Linked DNA regions of Notamacropus eugenii. The protein of the gene in region 2 purifies or fractionates together with the protein of the main gene of each other region. This does not show direct contact. Links are inferred from orthologs where the notes say so. Each region holds a gene or a part of one and is shown on either strand. Other genes may lie near its edges. The genes, in order: GPN3, POLR3E and POLR3B.

Region 1 (7,216 bases), on a different chromosome or scaffold from region 2:
CTACCTCCATCAAAGGATTAGCTACACTGAGGGGCAGCTAGGTGGTGCAGTGGATAGAGCACCAGTGCAGGAGTCAGGAGGACCTGAGTTCAAATCTCACTTCAGACGCTTGACACTCACTAGCTGTGTGACCTTGGGCAAGTCATTTAACCCCAACTGCCTCATCCTGATGAATATCTGGTCACTGGATCCAGATAACTTGGGAGGAGAAAGTGAGACTGGTGACCTGCACAGCCCTCCCTCACTCGAAACAAAGTCAAGTGCAAGTTATGTCATTATTTCTCTGATGGCATGGTCTTCTTTGGCAACGAAAGATGAACACCCATCTACACTGAGGTCAGTAACACGGGTAATTTTAACTTTCCCATTCTGATTAATTCCCACACTATTCGTCTACATCTATTTCCACAAGTGTTTCTATAGGTGAATTCTCCTAAGATGCTGAGAGTGGAAGAAGGGCTTCCACCTCTAGTTCATTCCCTTTATCTGCAATGAATTTTTAAAATTTTACTGTGTTTTATTTTGTTGGACAGGGGAAAGGCTCTGCCATATTCTAGTAGAAAGCTCTAAGTTCAGCGCTACTATTGGTCACCTGGCTCATCCTATTATTTGATCTTGGGTTGCACATTCATTCATGTTGGTGAAGGCCATTTGCTTAACTCAGATTCTGATATTCTGAACACAATACCTCTTCACCTAGAAACATCTGTGAATTGTATGTCTGGAAAGCTGCAACAAATCAACTTTCTGTTCTTTAATGAGATAAACTTTGATGCCACAGGTGTTTCGTTTAGCAGAAAATATTTTAGATTATCTGCAACTTTCTCTTTCTTTTTCTTTTTCCCCAATGAATTACACAAGATGATAGCACAAAACTTGGACAGGATGCTGTCTGGTCTGACAGGGCTCTCTGGCAAAAGTGTGAGCATAAAGGTCCAGACTTTTTTGGATTCATTCATAGGCTGGACCAGCTGTTCATAATATAATTAGGGAGTAGGTTTTGAAGGCCAAGCAGAGGATACTGTGATCCTGGAGGCAAAAGGAACTCTCAAGAATTTATTGAATAGGAAGATGACATGATCAGATCTGAATTTTAGGAAAATCACTTTAGTGGTGGCAAAATGGAGGATGAATTGGAATGAAGAGAGGCCTTAGGTAGGCAGACCCACCAGTAGCTACTGCAACAGTCCATGTGTGAGGTGATGAAAGCCTGTACCAGGGCAAGTGGTGACATACAAGACCTGTACTTTAGGAAGATCACTTTGACAGCTAAGTGGAGGATAGATTGGAAGCAGGCAGACCCCCAAAGCAGCTATTGCCATAGTCCAGATATGAGGTGATGAGAGCCTGCATTAGGGGGATGGCAGGGTCAGAAGAGAAAAGGAGGTATATTTGAAAGATGCTGCAAAGGTGAAGTCAATCAGAAATATTGCAAAGGTGAAATGGACAAGAGATGCTATAAAGCTGAAACTGACCAGAGCTGTTGCAAAGGTGAAATCAACTAGAGATGCTACCAAGGTGAAATGGACAAGAGATGCTGCAATGGTAAAACCAGCAAACTATGGTAATAGCTTGGATATGGGGGATATGGGGGATGAGAGAATGGGAATCCAGAATGACTCCTAGGTTGGGAGCCTGTAAGTAGCAAAGCCAGGTTTGGAACTGAGGTCCTTCCAACAAGAGAGCAGTGCAGCAAAAGAGAGAACTGGAATTGAAGTCAGAAGACCCTAGGTTCAAATTCTGCCTCTTGGTGTGGACAAGTCACTTATAATTGTCCTGGTCTCAACATTTTCCGAAAAACGAAAGGGTTGGACTAAGGTCACTTCCAGCCCTAAATTTCTGTTGCTCTGACCTTAGCATGAAAAATCTTTAGGTAGTAGAAACTGGTTAGTGCCTTCAGCGTCTCCAGGGCTGTCTGTCCCCACCAAAAACAAACCCCAGGTAGGTTTCATCCAACGGGAAGGCCCCCCTAGTACAGGGCAGTAACTGACCTTCCCTGGGTGTTTTAAGATTCCATCTATGGTTTCATCTCACTTAAGCCTCACAACAACCATATGGTCTAGGTAGCTATTTGGACCCCAATTTTACAACAGAAGGGAAGTGATCTGCCCATGGTCACACAGCTAGGAGAGTATCTATCTCGTATTGATGTTAGCGAACCAGCCTTCTTTGATATCTCCAGGGTCTCTAGCATTCTGGTGCTTAGCACAGTGCCTGTCATATACTTGGAACTTAATAAAAGTCGATCGATGGATCGATTATTGAATTGGTTAGGGATAGCGTGGGGCTGGAACTCCCAGGGCGGTCGTGCCCTCCACCTCGGTAGAGAGGCGACTGGCCCAGGATTCCACAACCAGCCTGGGCCAGAAAGCAAGGACTCGAATCCACGTCCTCCCACCCTCGAGGTCGGCTGTGCCACCCTGCCCCTACTAAGTGCCTAGCATACAGCAGGGGTCTAATAAGAGCTCACTGAGTTTAATATTATCTCGGGTTCTCTAATGTTTATATTTGCGTTCCCTAGAACACTAAGAGGGCAGTTTCTGAACCAGTCCTGGTCAAAACAACAGGTTGGGTATTATGGTTTGATGCCTCTACCTCCATCAAAGGATTAGCTACACTGAGGGGCAGCTAGGTGGCTAGATTCCCAGGCATCCCCTCCTCCCCTCGAGTCTGGGGGCGGCTGTAGCTTCTGTGTGGCTTGTGTCCCCATCTTAAGGCTCCCAGCATTCCAGGGGATCTTAGAGTTTCCACCCCGTTTCCAACAGCCTCCTGCCAACACTGACCTTTCCGCTGCCGGCGGGGCCCATCACCAGCTGCGCGTACCGAGGCATACTGACCCTCGTGGGCCCCAGCGGCTACCGACGGAGCCTAAGAAGAAGAAACACGCCAAGAGCGTCCCGGCAACTTCTGAGGGCGCACAGTCCGCGACTCGACTTCCGGAGGGCGGGAGGGCCAATCGAAACCGAGGGCCGGCCCTCTCTCCCCTCCCCATTCTAGCATACACAACCCCGCCTCCTGCTATGGGTCTTCAAGAGGGCCATGCTTCCTAAAGAGTAAGAAACGACGCTGAGGTCAATTTGGGTTTGCCTAGCGGCTCGCCAGGCACGCAGGCGCAGAATGGACGAGGATGGATCCAGGCACAAAGCTTGACTCTGTACCAACCCATCCATCCATCCACCTGCAGAAGGGGCGGGAGCGCATCCCTGCCTGGGGCTGCGGCGGAACCACCGCCTAGCCAGGCTTCCGGCAGATCCTGGGCATTGCTATTTGGGGTGATGTTCTGAACAGAGAGCTCAGCTGGGAGGTTTTTAAATGTTTTAAAATACAATTATAATAGTAGTAATAATTATCATATTTCCAGCTAAGGGATCCCGTAAAGAGGCGTGCCCACACGTCCGTGCTCAGTATGCACCGGGCGTCATCTCCTGCTTAGGATGCGCGCGCTCCTCCCGTTTACGGGGCGTCCTCAGCCCCGAAAGATGCCAACGTGCCCCTCGCCAGCGTTCCGCGCCTGACCAGCGTCCCCCCTGCCCCTCCAGAGCCCAGCCAGCGGGAGCCCCAGGAAGAGTGGGAGGGAGGGAAGGATCCAGACAAGCAGGTGGTCGGGGTGGAGGCTCAGCGCCCTGTCCGCCCAACACCTCCCCGGCCTGACGCACGCACCCTGAAACCCGGAGGAGGAGAGGGGGAAGTTTCCCTCCCTCCCTCCCTGCACTGGACGTCGCCTTTGAGGCCCCCTCGGAGAAGATGCCGGGCCAGATGCAGACGCCTCTCTGGGTGAAGGAGGATGGCGGAGGGTCCGAGCTGTCCGCTGCAGCCGGGAGCAGCGGGTAAGGCTCGGGGCCCCGCAGGCTTGCACCGAGAGATGGGACGGGGGCCAGTCCGTGTCCCTCTCCTCGGCCCCGGGCGGGGCGTGGTGTAGAGGGCCGTTGGCCACGCATGGATAAGCCACGGGCGAAGAGGGAGGAGAGGATTCTTGCAGAGGGTGGACGAGCATCCCTTGCTGCTGGGGAGGATGGGGAAAGGACTGACTCACAGTCAGACGGGGGCGGGGGCCTGGGGCTGGGGAAAGGTTCCCAGCAGCCGCACAGGCGTTTGGTGCAGTGACTCACCTGGGTGGGTGCCACGGTGGAGGCTTCTACCCCGAGGGGGCGCTGGGTCACCAGGCTACATTTTCCACAGAAAAATAGGCAGGGATGGTCAGCTTCTATAAGAGCGGCATAGAAAACCTCAGGCGCTCAAGACAATAGCCTGGGAGGCGAGACGCCTGGGTTCTGGTCCCTGGGGTGGGCTGTGTGACATCAGATTGTGTATTTCTTTTGCCTTCTTGAAAATGAGGAAAATCCTTGTGTGAGAGATGAGATAATAAAAAATAAATTCTTTTTGAAATAGCTTTTAATTATATTTTATTCATTCATTTAATAAGTTTGTTGAATGAGGGAAAGGGCTACTTTTAGTTGACTCCTGATTCCATCCCCTGGGATCTTTCCCCTGGCAAACCGAAGGTTTATGCCTTTAAGCTCTCCAGGTAGCTCAGTGTAGGGACAGACAAGACTTCTGGGGAGGGGGGGTGGGTCCTCATCCTTACAAAGAAGTCACTGAGATTAAAAACAAAAGACAAATATAGAACTTTAAGAAGAAGAAAAATACCTACAAATAAAAAATAAAAAACACCTTTGGGTGATGGAATGTGGAATTTTCGGGTGTTAAATGTATTTGCATTTGTTTAAAATCACATTGAAATTTATTCCTTTATATTCATAGGCTCACATAGTCACGGAGAAGGTTAGAGTAGGTTGCCCTTCAGGTCCCTAGGTACAGCTGTAGTGAAACTGTATAATATGTCAGTGCTTAATTAGAGCTGATACCTCAGTGACATTAGTATTATTTCTGTTGTTAAAGATAACATCCCATCAACCGATTGTTCTACATCCTATACTCTTCCATAGATTTGCTTAATGGATGCTTATTGACTGACTGAGGATCCATCCACTGGACAGGAGGTCTTCCTCTAGGCCTTTTTAAAAATATACTTTTCTTTGCTGGCAATTCGGAGTTGTCCATGCCTCACTCTCAGGACATAGCTAGCCCATTTCCTTTTCTGATTATATTTTTCCTAGAGTATATTCTTTATGTCACTTCTTACGCATATATCCTAATGTAACTGACTTAGCCTACTCTTTGTCTTCTCCATTGTCCTTGGAGTCATCAACCACTATGATTCATTAGAGGTTGTTGTGTTCCAAGATTCACCACTCTTTGGTTCAGAGAGAACATTTGTGTTTCTAAAAAGAAAGGGGTATGTGTGTGTGTGTGTGTGTGTGTGTGTGTGTGTGTGTGTGTGAGAGAGAGAGAGAGAGAGAGAGAGAGAGAGAGAGAGAGAGAGAGAGAGAGAGAGAGCATGTATATGTGTGTGTGAGAGAACAGCTTGGGATCCTTAAGAAACTGGAATTTTCAAAATGTAATTCAATCTAGTGATTCAACAAGGATTTAATATGTCAAGCACTGGGATACAAATAATAATAATAAAAGAACAATTCCCCTTTTAATGCACTATAGTAGAAGCTTGAACCTCCGGGCCCAACTCACAATCCATCTCTACGCCATCTAACTGCATGTCACAGTTTGGACGATAGCCATTTTTCATCTGTTTGTTTTTTCCTCTATAGATTATTATGTTGACCTCTTCTGAGTTATTATGGATCTTTGTGGGGAGGTTGTTTTGTTTTTCTTTGTCTTTTCATTTTATTTTACAGTTCTAGGCTTTGATATAATTAGGACAGTGTTATCCACAAACAGTAGAATCTGGTGGTCCCTCCTCCATTCGGACCCTCCGTGGAACATTCTCCATAGTTGCCTGAACCTATGAATGTAAAGGAATACATTTTTAATATAACTTAGAAGTAAATGCAAACATTTGTAACATCAGAAAATTCCACATTCCAAGGTCTATAGGTATTTTTTTCTTTTTAAAATTTTATTGATACCTTCTCCCTTAAAATAAGAGCAATTCCACAAACCCAACTCACAAAGTGACTGTTTTTTACCCTTTACACAACATCTTCTTTGCTCAGAAGAGAGAAATGTGTTAGTTTCATCATTCATCTTCTGGAACCACGATTGGTTGTTGCATTTAATACGAATTTTGATGTCTTGGCGTTTGTTCATTTCCTTTTTTGTAGTCATTAGGCATACTGTTCTCCTGGTTCTGCTTTCTTCACTCTGTATCAACTTATACAGTTCTAATAAGGAAGTCATATCTCTCTCAATCCCCATATTTGTCATTATATATGGGGCAGTAATAGTCTGTTACATTCTCGTGCCACAATTTGTTCAGCCATTTACCAATGGGTTTTACTTTCTTTAGATCTGTATTGAGACTCTGAAAATACTGCTGTGAATATTAGCACAGCAATATTTCTTTTGGGACTTTCCTTTCTCTGATTTTCTTTGAGATACATAACAAATAGAAGATTGCTAGGTCAAACATTCTGAACAGCTTGGTGACTTTTTGTTTTCTTTTTGCCTAATTCCAAGTTGTTTTCCAGAACAGCTAGGTCAATGTACAGCTCCACCTGGACCTGTCATCTCATACTTCCTCCAGTATTTTCTACCTGTATCTATTATGATGAATAGGAAGTGAAATTGGCCAGTACGTGCACAAACATCTCCTAAGTGTGTCCTGTATGCTAGGCACTGGGCTAAGTGCTGGGAATATAGAAGCAGAAAGAGAGTACCTGTCTTCAGTTAAAACCACCCAACTGAGGACAGGGCCACAGGAGCAGAGTGGGATCCTCCAGGGAACCAGAAGGCAGTAGAGCTGGTGGGAAATCGTGCCAAGGTGAGAAGGATGTTCTAGCACCATAGATAAGGGAGTCTAGAGAGTCAGCAGTGAGACTCTGGTCCATGTTTGAATTTTAATTTCTTTAACATTTAATTTGGAGCATTTTTTCATATAGTTGTTAACAGTTTTCATTTCTTCTTCTAATAACCATTCATATCCATTGACAATTTATATATTAAAGAATTATTATATATGTGTTTTTATGACTTATAACAGTACATATGTATAATTACATATATAAAATTCACATACAAGGTCTTATATATTTACATGCCTCCCCTATACATCTTGGGTATAAAATCAGAGATGGTTGGTGCAAAGACATTTTTTCACATTAAATTTTTCTTATTTAAGTTGTATTGTTTGTGCAAAAGC
Region 2 (8,093 bases):
AAGTACACCTCCCTTTTTTCTCTGGAAAAGACTGGAAAGACAGAATATAGGGAACGCCATCAGACATGTTTCCTGTGTAAGTTTTATTTAACCTTTTTTTAATGTTATAAGAGAAGGCTCACTGAGCGGAAGGCTAGAAAGTATATCTGGAAATGGCTGTGACAGAAAAAAGCATCAGAAATATGAGGGTTGGTTGCTGTCATTTAAAGAAGGTGCATCACCAGGATGACCACATGATGATGAACTTTTTGGCCATATCAACTCAGGGGTTACAGATTTGCTGAAGTGGAGCGAACACCCAAAGAGAAAAAAAAATCATAGCTCAGAGAAACAAATCTACATATAGTCCTCCTCATCATCTATAAAAAGGAGTGTAAACTCATAGAATCCCTCTCTTCCTTTGTAATGCTACCCAAGAACCAAGTTCCAAATGTAGCCTTTCCAGATCCTCTCAATTATCAGGGTCCTCCCTGCCAGACTATACAGTCATTAACACTTTGTATCTTTTCTCTTCACATTTACACTGTATCCTTGGTTTTTTTTTATTCTTAGTATCTCCCTCAGTGTCTTCACCGTTGGCACTTAGGAATGAATGAACTAGAGAATACAAGAAGAAATAAAACCAAGTGCCCAGCTGTATGGTACACACACTTCTACAGGGGATAAAGTGCTCAAAAGGAAAGAAGGTATAATGGAGATTCAGTATTCAGCTACCCTTCTGCTATTCTCTCTTTCTGGGGTTTATATTTGGATGTTTCTACCTTTCTCCTGAATAGTCAACTCAATGTACCACCTTAGTAACCACTTTTCCACCCATCCTAGCCAGGAAAGCTTAAGTTTTTTTAAAAATCTTTTCCCTTTATTCAAAAAAACAAAAACAAAACAACAACAACAGAAAACAGCCTCTTCCCAGCCTCATGAACCCTCTGTCTCCAAGGGGATCTTGAAGAGACAGAAGGCCTGGAGAGCACATACCTACCTGCCCAGACGGGCAGATGTGGGTTTGCCCTGGGAGCCGTACACCAGCAGCCAGGTTCTCCTCTCAAATGTCAGTACCAACTGAAAGAAAAAGAGGCATGAAGAATAACACAAAAAATAAAAAAAAAAAACAAACATCCTGTCCGCGGCAACTCATAGAAATTCATAGCCAGGGCCACTGCCCTTCTCGTCTGGCTCTCTAGCGATCTGCTTTAGGTCTAGACTAGTCAGACAATGAAATCAGCCAATTCTAAGTTACCAGGAATGGAGAATTTACAGCATGACACCAAAGCTGGAGCAAGCTCAGGGATGCTGAGATCTCCAGAAAGGAAGTAGACCTGTTCCCTGCCATTCTCATAAAAGCCAGAGATCCAGAGTTGAGGTCAAACTATCTTGCCCTGGTCTCCTCTGACTCTCAGCCATTTACAAACCTGAATACTTTGCTAGTGTTAGACGGCTTGACCTCTAACCCTAGGAAAGGTGAAGAATGGGGAATTTCTGCTATTACTCCACATTTGAAAATGATGCAAATATTTTTAAGAAATCATGAAAACTGAAATGGGCTCCGGGAACTAACATGGTCAGTAATCTCAAACCCGGAGACTGGACCAAAGAACAATTCTCCAGGATTAAGAGGGGATGTGTACATGTACTTTGGGGAGGGGAGCCAGAAAGGAGGAAATCCTAAAGAACCAGCCTGAACCAAGGGGGGCATCGATCGCACAACCTCTAGGGTTTAACGATGGCAAAAGGGCAGAGCTGCCACAAACTGGCGGCATGACTTTGAACAGGTTGGCTTCTCAATAAGAAGAGGTCATTGGACCAGAGAGTGCCAAGGCCTCTCCCGGAGGTCCAGGATTCTAAGGTGATCCTTGGGTGGAAGGATGGTAAGATGGCAGAAGGGCAGCTCTCAGGGAAGGCTACCCCGAGGGGCGTGCTCTCCACCTGTCCATGCCACCATCTGCTGGGCTCTCTTTCTAAGGTGCTGCCAACACCACCTCTGCCCCAGGACCGCGGGAAGTGCCCCGTCCCCACTCTGACTCACTTATTTCTTCCCCAAGTCAGCCCCCCACAGCTGTCACCGGCCGTGGAGACCTAACCTCTCAAAGGCAGGTGTCTCCAGGAGAGGGTGGCACCGCTGGGTCACCTGGAGTTACCCACTGCCTGCTGGGTCAATGGGCAAACTCGGCCTCCCCAGTTCCAAGCCCCCCATCTCGAGGATGGGGGTCCAGCCCAGTGGGAGCCCCCCCACTCCTGCCCTCCCACCCCCATCCGCCGGCCTCCGCACCTCCTGGAGCAAGAGCGCCCCGGGGTGTTGGGTCAGAGGATGGCCAACCCCCGGGAGACCCCACCCCCGACCGTGGGAGCGGCAAGGGAGCCACCCCGGGCGCCTCCCCACAGCCCTGCACAGTCACCCCGGTCGCGGCCCCCCTCTCAGGCCCGCCCTCCGGGACGCCTGGACCTGGGCAGCCGCAGGAGCCCGCTCCGGGCCGGGCCGGGCCTAGCCCCCGAGCACGGCCGCGACGCCTCCTCCGGCTCCAGCGCCGCTCCCCGAGGACGTCCCCCGGCCCCCACGACAGAAAAGCTCTCACTCACCGGGCCCGAGGACGTCGGGGAGGGGGCGGCTGCAGGGGGAGCGGCAGGGACGGGGGAGGAGCGGGAGGAGGAGGAGGAGCGGCGGGAGGAAGCAGGAGGCAGAAGCGGCAGCTATCTCCGCGAGCTGCAGGGGCGGCGGCGGCGGCGGCGGCGGCGGCGGCGGGCCCAGCTCTCTCAGGCAGCAGCCATATTGCTGGTAAAACTCCAGCAGACACGTGGGGGGAGTTGGGTCCTCCCCCGGCTCTTCCTCTTACCCACAATGCCCCGCCCCGGAGCGGAGCAGAGCGGAGCTCTCCCCACTCTCCGGGCCGCACTTCCTCTCCGGACCAGCAGGTGGCGCCGAGGCACCTCCCCCTTTCCTCGCCTTCTCTCCCTTCCGCCACCTTTTCTGCACCACCCCTACCTCGGTGCCTGGAGAGGAGCGGCCCTTCCTCGCCTTCCTACCACCGATAACTTCTGCTCGCAGGCCGCAGGTGGCGCTGGAGCGCGGGGGAATGGGGAGAACCAAAAAAAGCCACTTTCTGGCAGCGGTGGGATTCGAACCCACGCCCCCGAAGAGACTGGAGCCTTAATCCAGCGCCTTAGACCGCTCGGCCACGCTACCTAGATACAGAAGGCGGCTTCTTGAGCTCTAGTCAATCTATGACAGTGAGTTGTTTTGTTTTTTTTTTTTTGTTTTGTTTTTTGGACGCTCTAAGAGTCAGAGCTTCCCGGAAGTAGAATTCATCCTCCTCCAGCTTCCGGATTTTAGCCCTCCGTCTCCTCTCTTGCGCCTCCCTCCCAGACCGTTAGTCCCCGGAGGACAAAAGCGGCTTCTTTTCGCGTCCTTCGGGCCAAACTCCAAGCCTGGTGTGTCCTGGATCTCGCGTGGAATCGAGCTGTCCGGTAAAGACTGACTTGTTGTTCTCTCTTTATAAATAAAAAATATACATCTTTTTAAAAAGTGCCTCCCATTTCTTATGAATGTCTTGTTTTAAATCTCATATTATCTCTCTTTTCCTCCCCTCCCCTTTACCCAGAGAGACAAACATTAGGAAATAACCAGCCGGCTCCGCCACCCCGCGCGTGGGTGCTTGTCCCCTTCCGAGGCTGGGAAGGGGGAGCCCTTCTGGGGCAGGTCTTCAGGGCCCTTTCACAGTGTTTTCCATTCGCATGACCGCACTCATGTGTGCTGTTTTTAGCTTACCCCATCCCAAATCAGACAGCTCTTCCTAGCATTCCCAAAAGGAGAACAGTAAAAAGTAAAGGCCATGTGACCTTTAGAAAAATCTAAGTTAGAATAACTGAAGTTCCACTTCTAGCGAAGATGACGGAAGGCAGAAATGGTTGATGTTCAAGAGGCCGGGAAAAGCCAGGGACAGAGCGCGCTGTCAGAGGAGCTGCGCGGCGGCCCAGCCGTGCTGGAGGGCGGTTTGGAATGATGCTGAAATTGACCAGAGTGGCCACACCTCGGCGCCCTGACAGCCCCGCCGGCCCAGGAAGGGAAGCTTGCATGTATCCAAATGGTCAAGCGGCACTCTGCAGCAGGGAAGAATTGGACGCAGGGACCACCGTTTGGAAATTTGTTTTTGCAAATGTGGCACATGAATGTAATGGAATATTATTGCCGTAAGAAAAGAGGAATATGAAGGTCTGTGAGTGGCTCTGTGAACTTCTCATTTGATTTGGAAAGGGATGCCCTTAGGTAAGGTAGACACTGTGCCGTTTGGCTCTGGTTCCTTGATTAGATGAAAATACTTTCTGTTGGGATCCTCCATCAGAACAGGGTGTGAACAGGGCCTGTGTACCTCTTTGAATCAATCAAAGCCATTGTGTTAGAGACTTCCTTAAGAAATTTGTATGAAAGGAAGAAGTCAAGACAACAAGCATTGATTGAACACTTAATTGTGAGATGTTGTGTAAGCCTATAAAGAAATGCAGATCTATCTATCATCTATCTATCGATCATCTATCTATCTATACACACACACACACACACACACACACACACACACACACACACACACACACACACACACATACATATATATGACTTGAAGGTAATCTCAGAAGGGAGGCATTAGCATTGAGGGATATGAGACTTCTTGACTTTTACCTGAAATTTAAAGAAAGTTAGGCAAGCCAGGAGGAGAAGGAATATCCCAGGCATGGGAGACAGCCAGTGAAAGTTTTGGCATTAGGGAGATGAAATAGCTTGTTTGAAGAACATCTGTCTGAAAAAGAGAAATAGATTTGGAGCAAATAGGGGAAAGGAAGAAATAATCTGTACCAGAAAAAAAGAAAATAAAGAGGAGAGTTATTGGTTCAACAGGCATCACAGAGAGGAGGAGGGCCCAGGCTGAGGGAAATCCAGAGAAAAGGACATCTCTGTCCCAACTTCCCTTGTTGAAGCCACAGTCACTATAATATTATATGATGTTTCATTACCCATATTTTTCCAGTAAACTGAATTTTGCCTCACCTGCAAAGAAATCAGGGATTAACGAAAGATAGACTTAAATGTAATAGAGTAAATGTGAGGCAGAGAGTATAACTCTGCCCAAGTGTTAGGGATTTTCCTAACTGGGGACTCCAGAACAATTATAACTGAACTCAAAACTTGCCATCTAAAACAAATTCCATAGTACTAAAGGGGATTTAACAAAGCAAACAAAGAAGGTACCAGGTGGACATTTGGGGCCAATAAATTTCCCCCATTTCCCCATAAAATGAGATAATTATTGTGAAGAGGTATTACATCCTGGTTGGTACCTTGATAAATGCTTGAGTATACCAAAATATTATGAGAGGATAGTTCATATTCATGTGTGTATGTATGTATACATATACATATACATACACACATATATTCAATTCCAATTCAATCCAATAAGTTTATATTAAGTTCCAGTCACTGTACTAGGTGCTGGGTATACAAGGACAAAAAGGAAACAATTCCTGCTTTCAAGAAATTTATAAGCCAGCAAATTCTTGACAAATGAAAAGTACATATATACAGATGATCCCCATATTTCGAGTTTAGACAGGCTGAAACCAGCCACTCAGAGCTTCCCAGAGAGCTGATTAAGCTCTAGTTGACCTACTTCATTACCCTAATTTCACAGACCTGTTTGAAACTGTCAAGCTGAAATGTCCTCAAGTCAAAAATGAAGCAGAAGCCAGAGAATATAGGAGGGTGACTCCACTCCATAGGATGAGTTAGGGCTAAAGCTTGAGTAGAATCCAAGCAGAGTTCCCTGTGCTCAGTAGACTAAAGTAAGAATCCCTGTCTTTGCTAAACTGGAGTTATTAAAGAAAAATATCTAGGGGAGAATCTGGTGATAGAGGCAAGGAGAACAGAGGAGATAGGGGTCATTGCAGGGGTGTGCTGGAGCTAGTGTTTGAACTATTTAAGTTTGATTAAATTTTCAGTGTGAGAATTTATGCCTCAGAAATCAGCAAATGCTATATATTTTAGATCTTGACCTATTGCTTTATTGATTATCTGGACTTAAGAAAATGATAGAGAAAGTGTTAATACTGAAAATTAAACTTGAGTATGTTCTATGTATATTTTTTTAGAGAGCAGATTGTTAAACACTTAACAAGAGGATGTAATGGCACACATCTTTTTGATTTTGAGTTGTGGGAATGACACCAGAAACTATCCCTATCCCATTCTTCTCTGGATCTAATCACACTCTATTCTAGCTTCTTAGGCTACTTCTGAGCTGCTAAGGAGTGTCTGAGAGCAAGGACTTGACTTACCTGTTTTGAAATTAGCATGAAATATATAGTTGCACAAGTCACTATAATGAGACATCATTGTCACCATGCAGGCAAGAAATGACCTTGTGATGGTCGAAGCCCAGACATAATAAGGGAAAACCCAGCCAGGGCAATTTTGTTATTCAGGTCAAGCAAGACACGGAAGGAAAGAAAGGGGAATTTATTAAGTATCTACTACATGGTCAGGCCCTGTGCTAAATGATTTGCAAATATTATCTCATTTGATCCTCCCAACAACCTTAGGAGATAAGTGGTATTATTAACTCCATTTTAAAGTTGAGGAAATAAATAAAATAATCTTGAAAAAAGAAATAAGAAAAATAAAGTTGAGAAAATAGAGGGAAACAAAGGTTAAATGACTTGTCCAGGGTCCTACAGCTAGTAAGTGTCTGAGGCTGAATTTTACCTCTTCAGGCCCAAAGCTCAATCCACTCTGCCATTTAGCTCTTACCATCATGTCTCAATTTACATGAGAGAGGAAAATTCCTTAAAAAAAAAAGAAGTCATGTAAATCAAATGGAATTCTTTGACTTCACTTCTGATTAAACCCAACACTTTAGCTTTCAGTTTCCCTGCTTTTTCCTCTACTCTCCTCCTATCCTACAGCCTCCTTCAAGTGATTATTGCAAAAACAAGCAGTGAACTACTCTCCTAGATGAGTTTTACAGTAAAGATGCCTTTTAAGATCAACATATATTTATTGAACACTTTCTAGTGTGCAACTGTTGAATGCAGTGACCTAGGACTGTGAAATGCAAAGATATGTGTATCATACAATCTCTGTTGTTCGCTAGCAACAACAATCTTAATACACTATTCAGATGTTAGTTATTAGTATTGCCATATCAAGAAAATAATTAGTCCCTCATTTGCCTGTTTTTAACATAAAATTTTATTTGAGTCTTTTAAAAAACATATTTCCCACAATATCCTCCTTCAAGGAACCATCCTTTGTCACCAAGAAAAACAGTTTAAAAAAACAACAGACAACCAGCCTTGTTCGCTGCTCCTGTACTCCCCTACCTGAGAGTTATTTAAGGGAGGGCTATGTTCCTTCATTTGTGCCCTGGACCCAATATTGGTCATTAGCTGTAATTATTTTACCTGATTCTAAGCAGTATTCTGAGTTTCCTTTACAAAAAAAAGCATGGGGAGAGTCAGTCAACAAGTACTTATTGAGTTCTTACAATGTGCTAAGCACTACACAAATAAAGAAAAGCAGAACAGAGGTCCATTCCCTTAATCATGAAGGTAGTTGCTCAGTGGAAAGAATTTCTGGCCTGCAGTCAGGAAGACCTGAGTTCATATCATATTCAGATACTTACTACCTGTGTGACCCTGTTTAAGTGATTCCCCAAATGGAGTCAAGAACAGTTGGAAGGCCCTGGGATAGTGTTGGAGGAGGACTGAGAAAGGCTTCCTGCTGATGGTGGGATTTGAGCTGCATCTTCAGTCTAAATCAGGAGGCAGAGGGCATGTAATTTAAAGATTTTCCCTGACAATTAATGGGCCTCAGATTAGGGGAGGCTTGTTTTGTAGAAAGGCTCACATCTTTGTTAATTGCTAATGAGGCACTGGGTCACAAGATTGTGATGCCTTCTGGCTCTGAAAAGTGTATATATACTCTGAGGTGAGGTTTTGCTTTGAGGGGCTTACTCTTTGGAAGAAGGTTCATGTTCCAGATGAGACTCTGAGTAGCCTTTAAGGAGCTCCCCCAATCTTGGCTTTGAAAACTCACATGTTGGTGCTTC
Region 3 (7,712 bases), about 110 Mb from region 2:
TGGCTAATTTTGGCCAAATCATGAACACCCCAAGAAAACACAGGAGCTCCATCAGTCACCACCACACTATCCATATGTGGAACCATCGATTATAACAAATGGAGAAGTTTTGAATGCTGTGGATAAGTTCACTTACCTTGGTAGTGTACTTTCCAGGGATGTACACATTGACAATGAGGTTGATGCACACATTGCCAGAGCTAGCTCAGTGTTTGGGAGGCTCCAAAGAAAAGTTTGGGAGGGAAGAGGTATTAGACTGACTACCAAACTGAAGGTCTACAGAGCCACTGTGCTGACCTCACTGTTGTATGCCTGTGAAACATGGACAGTCTCTCAGCGTCATGCCAGGAAACTGAATCTCTTCCATTTGAACTGTTTTAGGAAGATTCTGAGGATCACCTGCAGGATAAGGTACCAGACACTTAACTCCTTGCTCGAGATGAACTGTCAAATATTCAAACTATGCTTCAAAGAGCACAACTCCAATGGGCTGGCCACACTGTTCGAATGCAAAATACGCTTGCCAAAAAGACTATTTTATGAAGAACTTGCATGGGGCAGACGATCATCTGGTGGTCAGAAGAAGCAACACAGGACACTCTCAAGGTCTCTCGCAAGAACTTTGAATTTGATTATGCAACATGGGAGACACTGGCACAGGATTGTTCAGCATGGCATGCCCACATCAGAAAGGGTGCTGTGCTCTTTGAGCAAAGCAGAACTGAGACAGCACAAAGTAAATGTAAGATGCAAAAATTTGGGATATCCACCCCAAATATTCACACAGACTATCTGTGCCCAACCTGCAGATGAGCATTCTGAGCTCATATTGGTCTGATCAGTCACAGTCGGACACACTGAAATTTCACTTTACTATGGTGATGTCATTTTGGTCCTCTTCAAAGATGACGGTCAACAACCACCACCAACCTTGGCCATGGTCTATTTAATTAACATCAGTACCATGGTAATGGGTACACATCCTCCTCCCCTGTAAAATGTAATATCTTAAGAACAAGACCCAGTTCATTCCTTTGTATCCCTTTTACCAGGCTGTCGACTGACTAACGTGAGACACTACAAGTACAGGCTGAGAGAGGCACTAGACAGCTTATTGAAAACACCTTGGAGCTCAGTGTACTGAGAGTTCAACAGGTGTTCCAACAAGTGATTTACAAAGCAGATCTAAAACCCTCAACCCAGTTATCTTATCAAGAGCCTACCCAGCAGCCTGGCCCTCTAAGGCAGAAACATTACACTGCCCTGTCTCCACTGATTGTCTCATCTGACCAACTATTGTAGACAAGCAAATCCCAGCAATGCCTTACTTAATTCCCTACTTCCACTCATCTTTTGTAAAGCAACTCTGTGAACACATCCTTGCTTTTGTATTTGGAAGCAGCTAGGTGGCTCAATGGATAAAGCTAGGTCTGAGGTCAGAAGATTTGAGTTCTAATCTGGTTTCAGACACTTAACTAGTGGGCTAGCCAGTAGTTAACCTTCTTCCTCTGTAAAATGGGGATAATAATAGCACCTACCCCCCAGCACTGTTTTGGGAATCAAAGGAGGTATCTGTAAAGTGCTTACCACAGTGCCTGGAACATAGTAACTGCTAGCTATTATTATGGTATTTGACTCCTCAGGGCTTAGCATAGTGCTTGGCACTTTATAAGTGTTTAAAAAATGTCTTTTTATTCATTCATCCTCATAGTACTCTATTGAAGTCAACATTGAACTTTATCATGGTGATGTCATTTTGGTCCTCTTCAAGAACGAAGGACAACAACCAACTCTATTAAAGTCAACATACACACCAACTAAGGCTGTAACTAAATGGATCGGGTCTCCTGGTGACACATGCGTCCAATATGACGCGATCAGCAAGGGCTTATTAGCTGAAAGGGGTGAAGAAAGAGTCTAGGAGACTGTAAAAAATGCAAAGGAGTTAAGGCCTTCTTAGTCATACTTTAAATTTAATTCTCTAAATGAGAACTCTCCAAACCTGGGGAAGCTAAGTAGGTAAACAATTGCCCACCAACCACTTCAAACATTATTTTCTTCTCTTAAGCACATTATGTGTAGGTTATTTATGTATCACATCTCCCTACTGAGAAGAAGGATGGAGAGAGACAGCCTAGGAACCTGAAAAAGGAGGCCGGATTCAAAAACATCTTGCCTCTGACCCTGAGTGTTGTGGCCTTAAAATCACTTAAACTCAATTCTCAAACACTACAAGCTGCAGGGAAGAAGCCAACCTGCAGTGGTAGTGGGAGCTGTCTCATCCAGTAGTTTCCTACATCAGGGAAATCTAAGTTCAGGTCTTAAGGGCAGGAAACCTTGACTAAACTTTGTCTTTGTCCCTCGACCTGACAGACTTATTGAGAGCCCCAAAGTCGATAAAACGAGTTTTCCGTTGAAGGTAAAGAGAGATCAATGATTTGGTTCAGACAAAACTGATAATGAAGTAGGAGAAAGCTGAGCTGATCATGTTATTTTTTCTTCCACTTTTTCTACCCAGGAAAATGCCCCTCAAGCTGGGAAGTCCAGGAGGACGACCCTGCGGGAGGTGCAGCTCCACCCCACGGGGCAGGACCAGGACGCGTCCGAGGTCTCCACCGCCTCCCGAGCAACTGACTAGGGCCTGACAGCCCGGGAAGAAACCTCGTGCGCAAAGGTGTGGGCGTGGGCGCAGGCGCACTCAGAGCCCCAACGCCCGTAGAGGGCGGGGCGGAGTGCTCCGAGCATGCGCCCTAGGCCCTGGAGCACAGCCCCAGCTACATTCCCTGACTAGCCCGGGCGCCCGAGGAGGGAACGCCCCCAAGCAACACTCACGTCCGGCTCCTTCGCTTCACTCACCTCCACTGTAGGAATGGGAGCGGCCACCTGCTCCGGAGTCAAGTTCCCGAACTCCTCGGCTAGCACGTCCATGGCTTCCAGTCGCCACTGCTACACCCACCTCTGCGACCCTAACGGCGGCGGGCGGACCGCTACGAGCGTGAACACCCGGCAGTGCAGCACCCAAACCTTTCCCCCTCGGCCAGTGCACCACGCCTGACGGCGAAAAGGTTCCGCCTGCTTTTAGGGACCCTATGGCGTCATCGGCAGGACCCGGATGTGTCTTCGGCGGAGCTCCGCCCCCTGATGAAGTCACAAGCCCCGCCCATTCCAGGGAGCACGCGCGGAGGGGGAGGGGGAGGGGCGAGGAGCCTTCCACGTGGCGTCCCCAGTCTGGGCTTAAGTGCTACGTCTCCTTTCCCAGAAAAACTTCGGCAAAGGGAGACTTCGTCCTTTCGTCCTGCCCAGACGCCAGCGCCTCCAGGAGGCCCATCCTTCCCATCATTCTCCCAGCTGAACGTAGTGGATGATTATAATATAAATATATATCATGAATAGCCCTAAGTTCTGAGTTCAAACCCTACCTCCAGGTGCCCCCCAAGGTGACCCTGGACAAGTCACTTATAAAAATATGTACATGTGTGTAATGTATGCCCGTGTGTAATATAATATAATGCCTCACATATGTATGTGTATATATGTCTAAGACATGGGAGAAATCTATATGATCTAGGTGTGTGTAATAATGACACGTATGTGCACTTTGTAATAAAGTTATAGTACATGTAAGATGTGTGTAATGTGTTTGCTCTAATGTGCGTGTGAAATGTATAAATATAATATAGGGGGTGTGTAATATGTGTGCAAGCTCTATGTATATATGTAATATAGATCTGTTTATGAACATTTGTGTATGTACATATATACATTATATATTGTCAGATTATGTATATATGTAATGTGTAATGTAAGATATATGTTATGTTTAATATATAGTATGTGTATAGAGCATATATACATATAATATACGCTATACTATATGACAATATATATAACAATAATATGGTGTAGTATATGTAAGATATGTCTGTGTTATATGTATGACAGGTGATATGTGTGTATATATACATGTATAATGTATGTATATGTGTGTCTTATACATATATGTATATTACATATATTCTACTGCTGTGTGTATATACACATATATGTTCACATGTAATATCTATCTGGGCTTCAGTTTCCCCATCTGTAAATGAAATCATTATTCTCAGTCACCTCTAAGCTGCCTTTCAGCTAGGCTTCCTTGAAGGCAAAGTGCATAGTAGATACCAAGGCAAACTTGTGTTCGAATCTAGCCTCACACACATAACTGTGTTTCTCCATCTGTAAAATGGGGGTAATAATAGCACCCACCCACCTCAAGCCTGACATACACTTAATACAGGTTTGTTGATTATTTGAGGACCATGGAAATTTGCTGTGCCATGCTCTTTAAGCATCATTCTGAAAATGTTTAGAAAAACAATGTTGTCGTGAGGTACAGATGGAAAACCACATCAGAATGTCTTCTCCAGCATGGACCTAGAGTAAAATGATGAAGGAAGATGTCTTTCAATCTACAGCCTCCCTTTGGGGGAAAGGGGGGCGCCTTGGCCTCTTTCATCACCCCCAACATCATCAAGGTTTGCCTCGTGCCTTCTCTGCCACAATCTGCCTTCCCAAAAATATCTGATCAATTCAGTCACAGCAATGGGTTAGATGGTTAGATCCAACCAATATTTATTGAAGGCTCATCAGTTCCTCACTGGAGCCTACAGAAAGATGTGGTTCCTTTAATCAGGTCGCTTCCAGTAACGATTACTGTCTAGGGTAGCTGAATCCAGACAGAATATAGAGTTGGGTAAACAACCTTGAATATGGAATTTCAAGTATCAGTGAGCACTTGGGGAGACTTTTTTTTCCTAGGTATACTTAAACTCTTGAAATCCTACCAAGGAGAACTCCAAGTACCAACCATTGAATCTGTGGGTCTGGGTAGGAAAAACTATGAGTTCATTTCCCTCTCCTTGCATGGCTGATTTTGAAAAAGGCTTTTGTTTAAAAGGACCTTGGGTGACTCAAGAATTTCCTGGAGCTCTCCATGATCATTGGCTTCTTTCCATGGGGCCCACTCCAACATCCTGACGAGTTTCCCGTCAAACGGAAATCTTGGTTTAAGGTGATGAGGCTGGAAGTCTTCGAATATCAATAAGATATCCATTTACTATAGAAATTCCCAAGACATCTGCAGATGTTCTCTTTTCCCATAGAATCTAGAATGTTATGGATAAAGAAAAGAAAGCAGAAAAGATGACAGGCTGCCAACTCCATCCTGTCTTGACTTTTGGAAATCTCATCTAACTGTAAAGCTGCAACTCAAATGCCAGCTCCTCCAAGAAGCCTTCCCTGATTTCTCTTCCCCCTCCCCATCAGAAAGTATTTCCATCCTCCTCCCTTCCAAAGCATAAGATCATGGACACAAAGGTAGAGAGGACTGCGGAGGTCATCTGGTCCAGCTCCTTCATTCTACAGATGTGTAAACTGAGCCCAAAAAAATTTAAGTGACTTGCCCAAAGTCACACCAGTAGAAAGAGGCAGCATTCGAACCCAGGTCCTCTGATTACAAACCAATGTGCTAGATTTGGAGTCAGGTAGAAGAGGAGTTTCAATCCTGCCCCAGACACTTATTAGCTACATGACCTTAGACAAGTTATTTAACCTCTCTTAACCTCAATTTCCCCAACTGTAAAATGGTAATCGTAATGGCACCTACCTTCCAGGGTCAATGTGGAATGAATTGAGATAATAGATATAAAGTGCTATGGAAATCTTAAATGACTAGAAAAATGCTCATCCTTCCTTTGATTTTTCCATACTCCTTGCCATTTCAACGCAGTCATATACTTACATTACATTCTCATCTATTCCAAGGCTGTTGCATAATCTTGCATACTTGTGGCTTATGCTCCCCTACTAATTAATGACACTGAGGCAGTTAATGTCACAGTGCACAGATCCCTGGATTTGGGGTTCAAATCCAACCTCAGACACTTGCTAGCTGGGTGACCCTGAGCAAGTCATTTCACCGTTTGCCTCCCTTTCCTCATCTGTAAAATGAGATGGAGAAGGAAATGGCCAATCATTCCAGTATCTCTGCTGAGAAAACCCTAAGTGGAGTCACTGAAAGTCAGATAGCACTGAACAAAGGACAAAATTCGGCCAAGTCCAATAAGGCTCAGCCCCTATTCCTCCCCCATGGGTCCATACCTGGAATGTTCCTCCTCACCTTGGTTTCTTGGAACCCCTGAGGCCTGGCATGATTCACTTCAAGTTTCACCCACTACCACAGTCTTCACTGATTTCTCCCTGGTTGGTGAGTGCCCGCCCCCGCCCCGAACCACCCGAACCACCCCAACCATAGGCACCCAGGCAGGTGCTCAGCACAGATGCCATTGCACCCTAGGTCTGACCTAAGTCCAGCCCTGTCCCCACCACCCCAAGCCCCAAAGCAGAGACACGTGATGAGAGTCACTTGGAAAACAGCAGATGAGACTCCTGATGAACCAGATTCCTCACCTCTCGACAAAAAGGGCATGCAGAAGGAGACATACATTTGCAGACGTTGCCACGGCATAGATTTTTTATTTTGTTTGATCATACTTATTCATTACAAGTTTTTGATTTTATTTTTTTAAACTGGAAGGGGAGAGCAAGGAAATGGGCTCCTAAGTGTTATGGCCAAAAGAAAAAAGAAACAAAGGGCCATTGAAGTATTTTTTTTAATAGACAAAAGAGAACCAAGGGAAATTCAGAGGAAGACACAGAGAGCAGGACAGCTTTGAAACTACATAAGGAATTTATTATTTTAAAATGTGAGCTCATTCCAAGTAGGGATCTTTTCAGTCTTTGTACCTGTATTTTTAACTAGAATAGTTGGTGCTTAACAAACGACTGATTGAGGACATACTTTCTAAAAAACCAAGTTGTATATAAGAGATTTAGAGTTTCATATACAATCCTCCTTTTTCTGTTCTCTTCTGTATATGGAAATATCCACAACTGTTGGCATCTGTCAAATAAAGAATAACAAAAAAACCAAAAATGACTAAAACAAAAAAATAAAATAACAAAAAAATAAAATTTTAAAGAACAGAGAAGAACCTGGTGGTCTACGTAACAGGAAGATGATGATTACCTGATTAACCGAGGCTTAAAGTCCCTCAGGGTCAGCAGTATTGGATGAGTCCCTGAAAAGCCCTCCCCCCATGAAACAGACATACCAATCATTTTTTAAGTCAATGCTTTAATATTTAACTGAAAAAAAAAAAGAACATTGCCAGCTTGCATGGAACAGGTTCTTGCCAAAATTTTCAAAAACAGAATTTATGCAATACATGAAAATATTAGTTTTACATTTAATAAACCTTATATAGCAAAACTTGACCATGTTAAGAAACTTTAAAATGGAAGCCAATGTTTAAGCAATCTTGGGATGAACTACATCCAGGAAGACGGGGACTGAGACACCTTCGTCAATGCAAGTTGCCTAAATCCAGAAATAAATTCATTTTGTCACTTTTAAAAAATAAAATGCCCTTATTTAAAAATGTAATTTTTTTTAAAAGTGTACATTGTTATTTTTTCTTGTGATATAAATTAAGTGCATAAAAGAATCACAACTGGATTCAAACTTTATGGTAAAAACATGTTTTTCTTTTATCTCCCTGTTTTAAACAGGATGGTCACTTACTGGAAGAGATGAAATGTGATTTACTGGAGCTGTATCTTCTAAGCCCTTAATGTGGGGGCAAAGAACAGGACAGAGAATTCGAGAA

What was found.
Region 1: the proteins of POLR3E (region 2) and GPN3 purify together in Homo sapiens (affinity purification with mass spectrometry; 3 studies listed by BioGRID and IntAct, counting the BioPlex papers as one, with this or other methods). This does not show direct contact. The link is inferred for Notamacropus eugenii from reciprocal best matches to the Homo sapiens genes POLR3E and GPN3.
Region 3: the proteins of POLR3E (region 2) and POLR3B purify together in Homo sapiens (affinity purification with mass spectrometry; 8 studies listed by BioGRID and IntAct, counting the BioPlex papers as one, with this or other methods). This does not show direct contact. The link is inferred for Notamacropus eugenii from reciprocal best matches to the Homo sapiens genes POLR3E and POLR3B.

What each region holds. Positions count from the first base shown.
Region 1 is NC_092875.1:35,917,122-35,924,337, reverse strand, and holds the start of GPN3 (GPN-loop GTPase 3), read right to left. Parts: upstream 3,021-7,216; 5' UTR 2,832-3,020; coding exon 2,784-2,831; intron 1-2,783. Other genes in the region: protein FAM216A, read left to right, coding at 3,745-3,827. UniProt on the Homo sapiens protein: Small GTPase required for proper localization of RNA polymerase II (RNAPII). May act at an RNAP assembly step prior to nuclear import.
Region 2 is NC_092874.1:396,628,990-396,637,082, forward strand, and holds the start of POLR3E (DNA-directed RNA polymerase III subunit RPC5), read right to left. Parts: upstream 3,061-8,093; 5' UTR 2,978-3,060; intron 2,714-2,977; exon of another isoform or gene 2,575-2,713; intron 1,060-2,574; 5' UTR 980-1,059; exon of another isoform or gene 976-979; intron 1-975. UniProt on the Homo sapiens protein: DNA-dependent RNA polymerase catalyzes the transcription of DNA into RNA using the four ribonucleoside triphosphates as substrates.
Region 3 is NC_092874.1:288,740,507-288,748,218, reverse strand, and holds the start of POLR3B (DNA-directed RNA polymerase III subunit RPC2), read right to left. Parts: upstream 3,054-7,712; 5' UTR 2,929-3,053; coding exon 2,857-2,928; intron 1-2,856. UniProt on the Homo sapiens protein: Catalytic core component of RNA polymerase III (Pol III), a DNA-dependent RNA polymerase which synthesizes small non-coding RNAs using the four ribonucleoside triphosphates as substrates.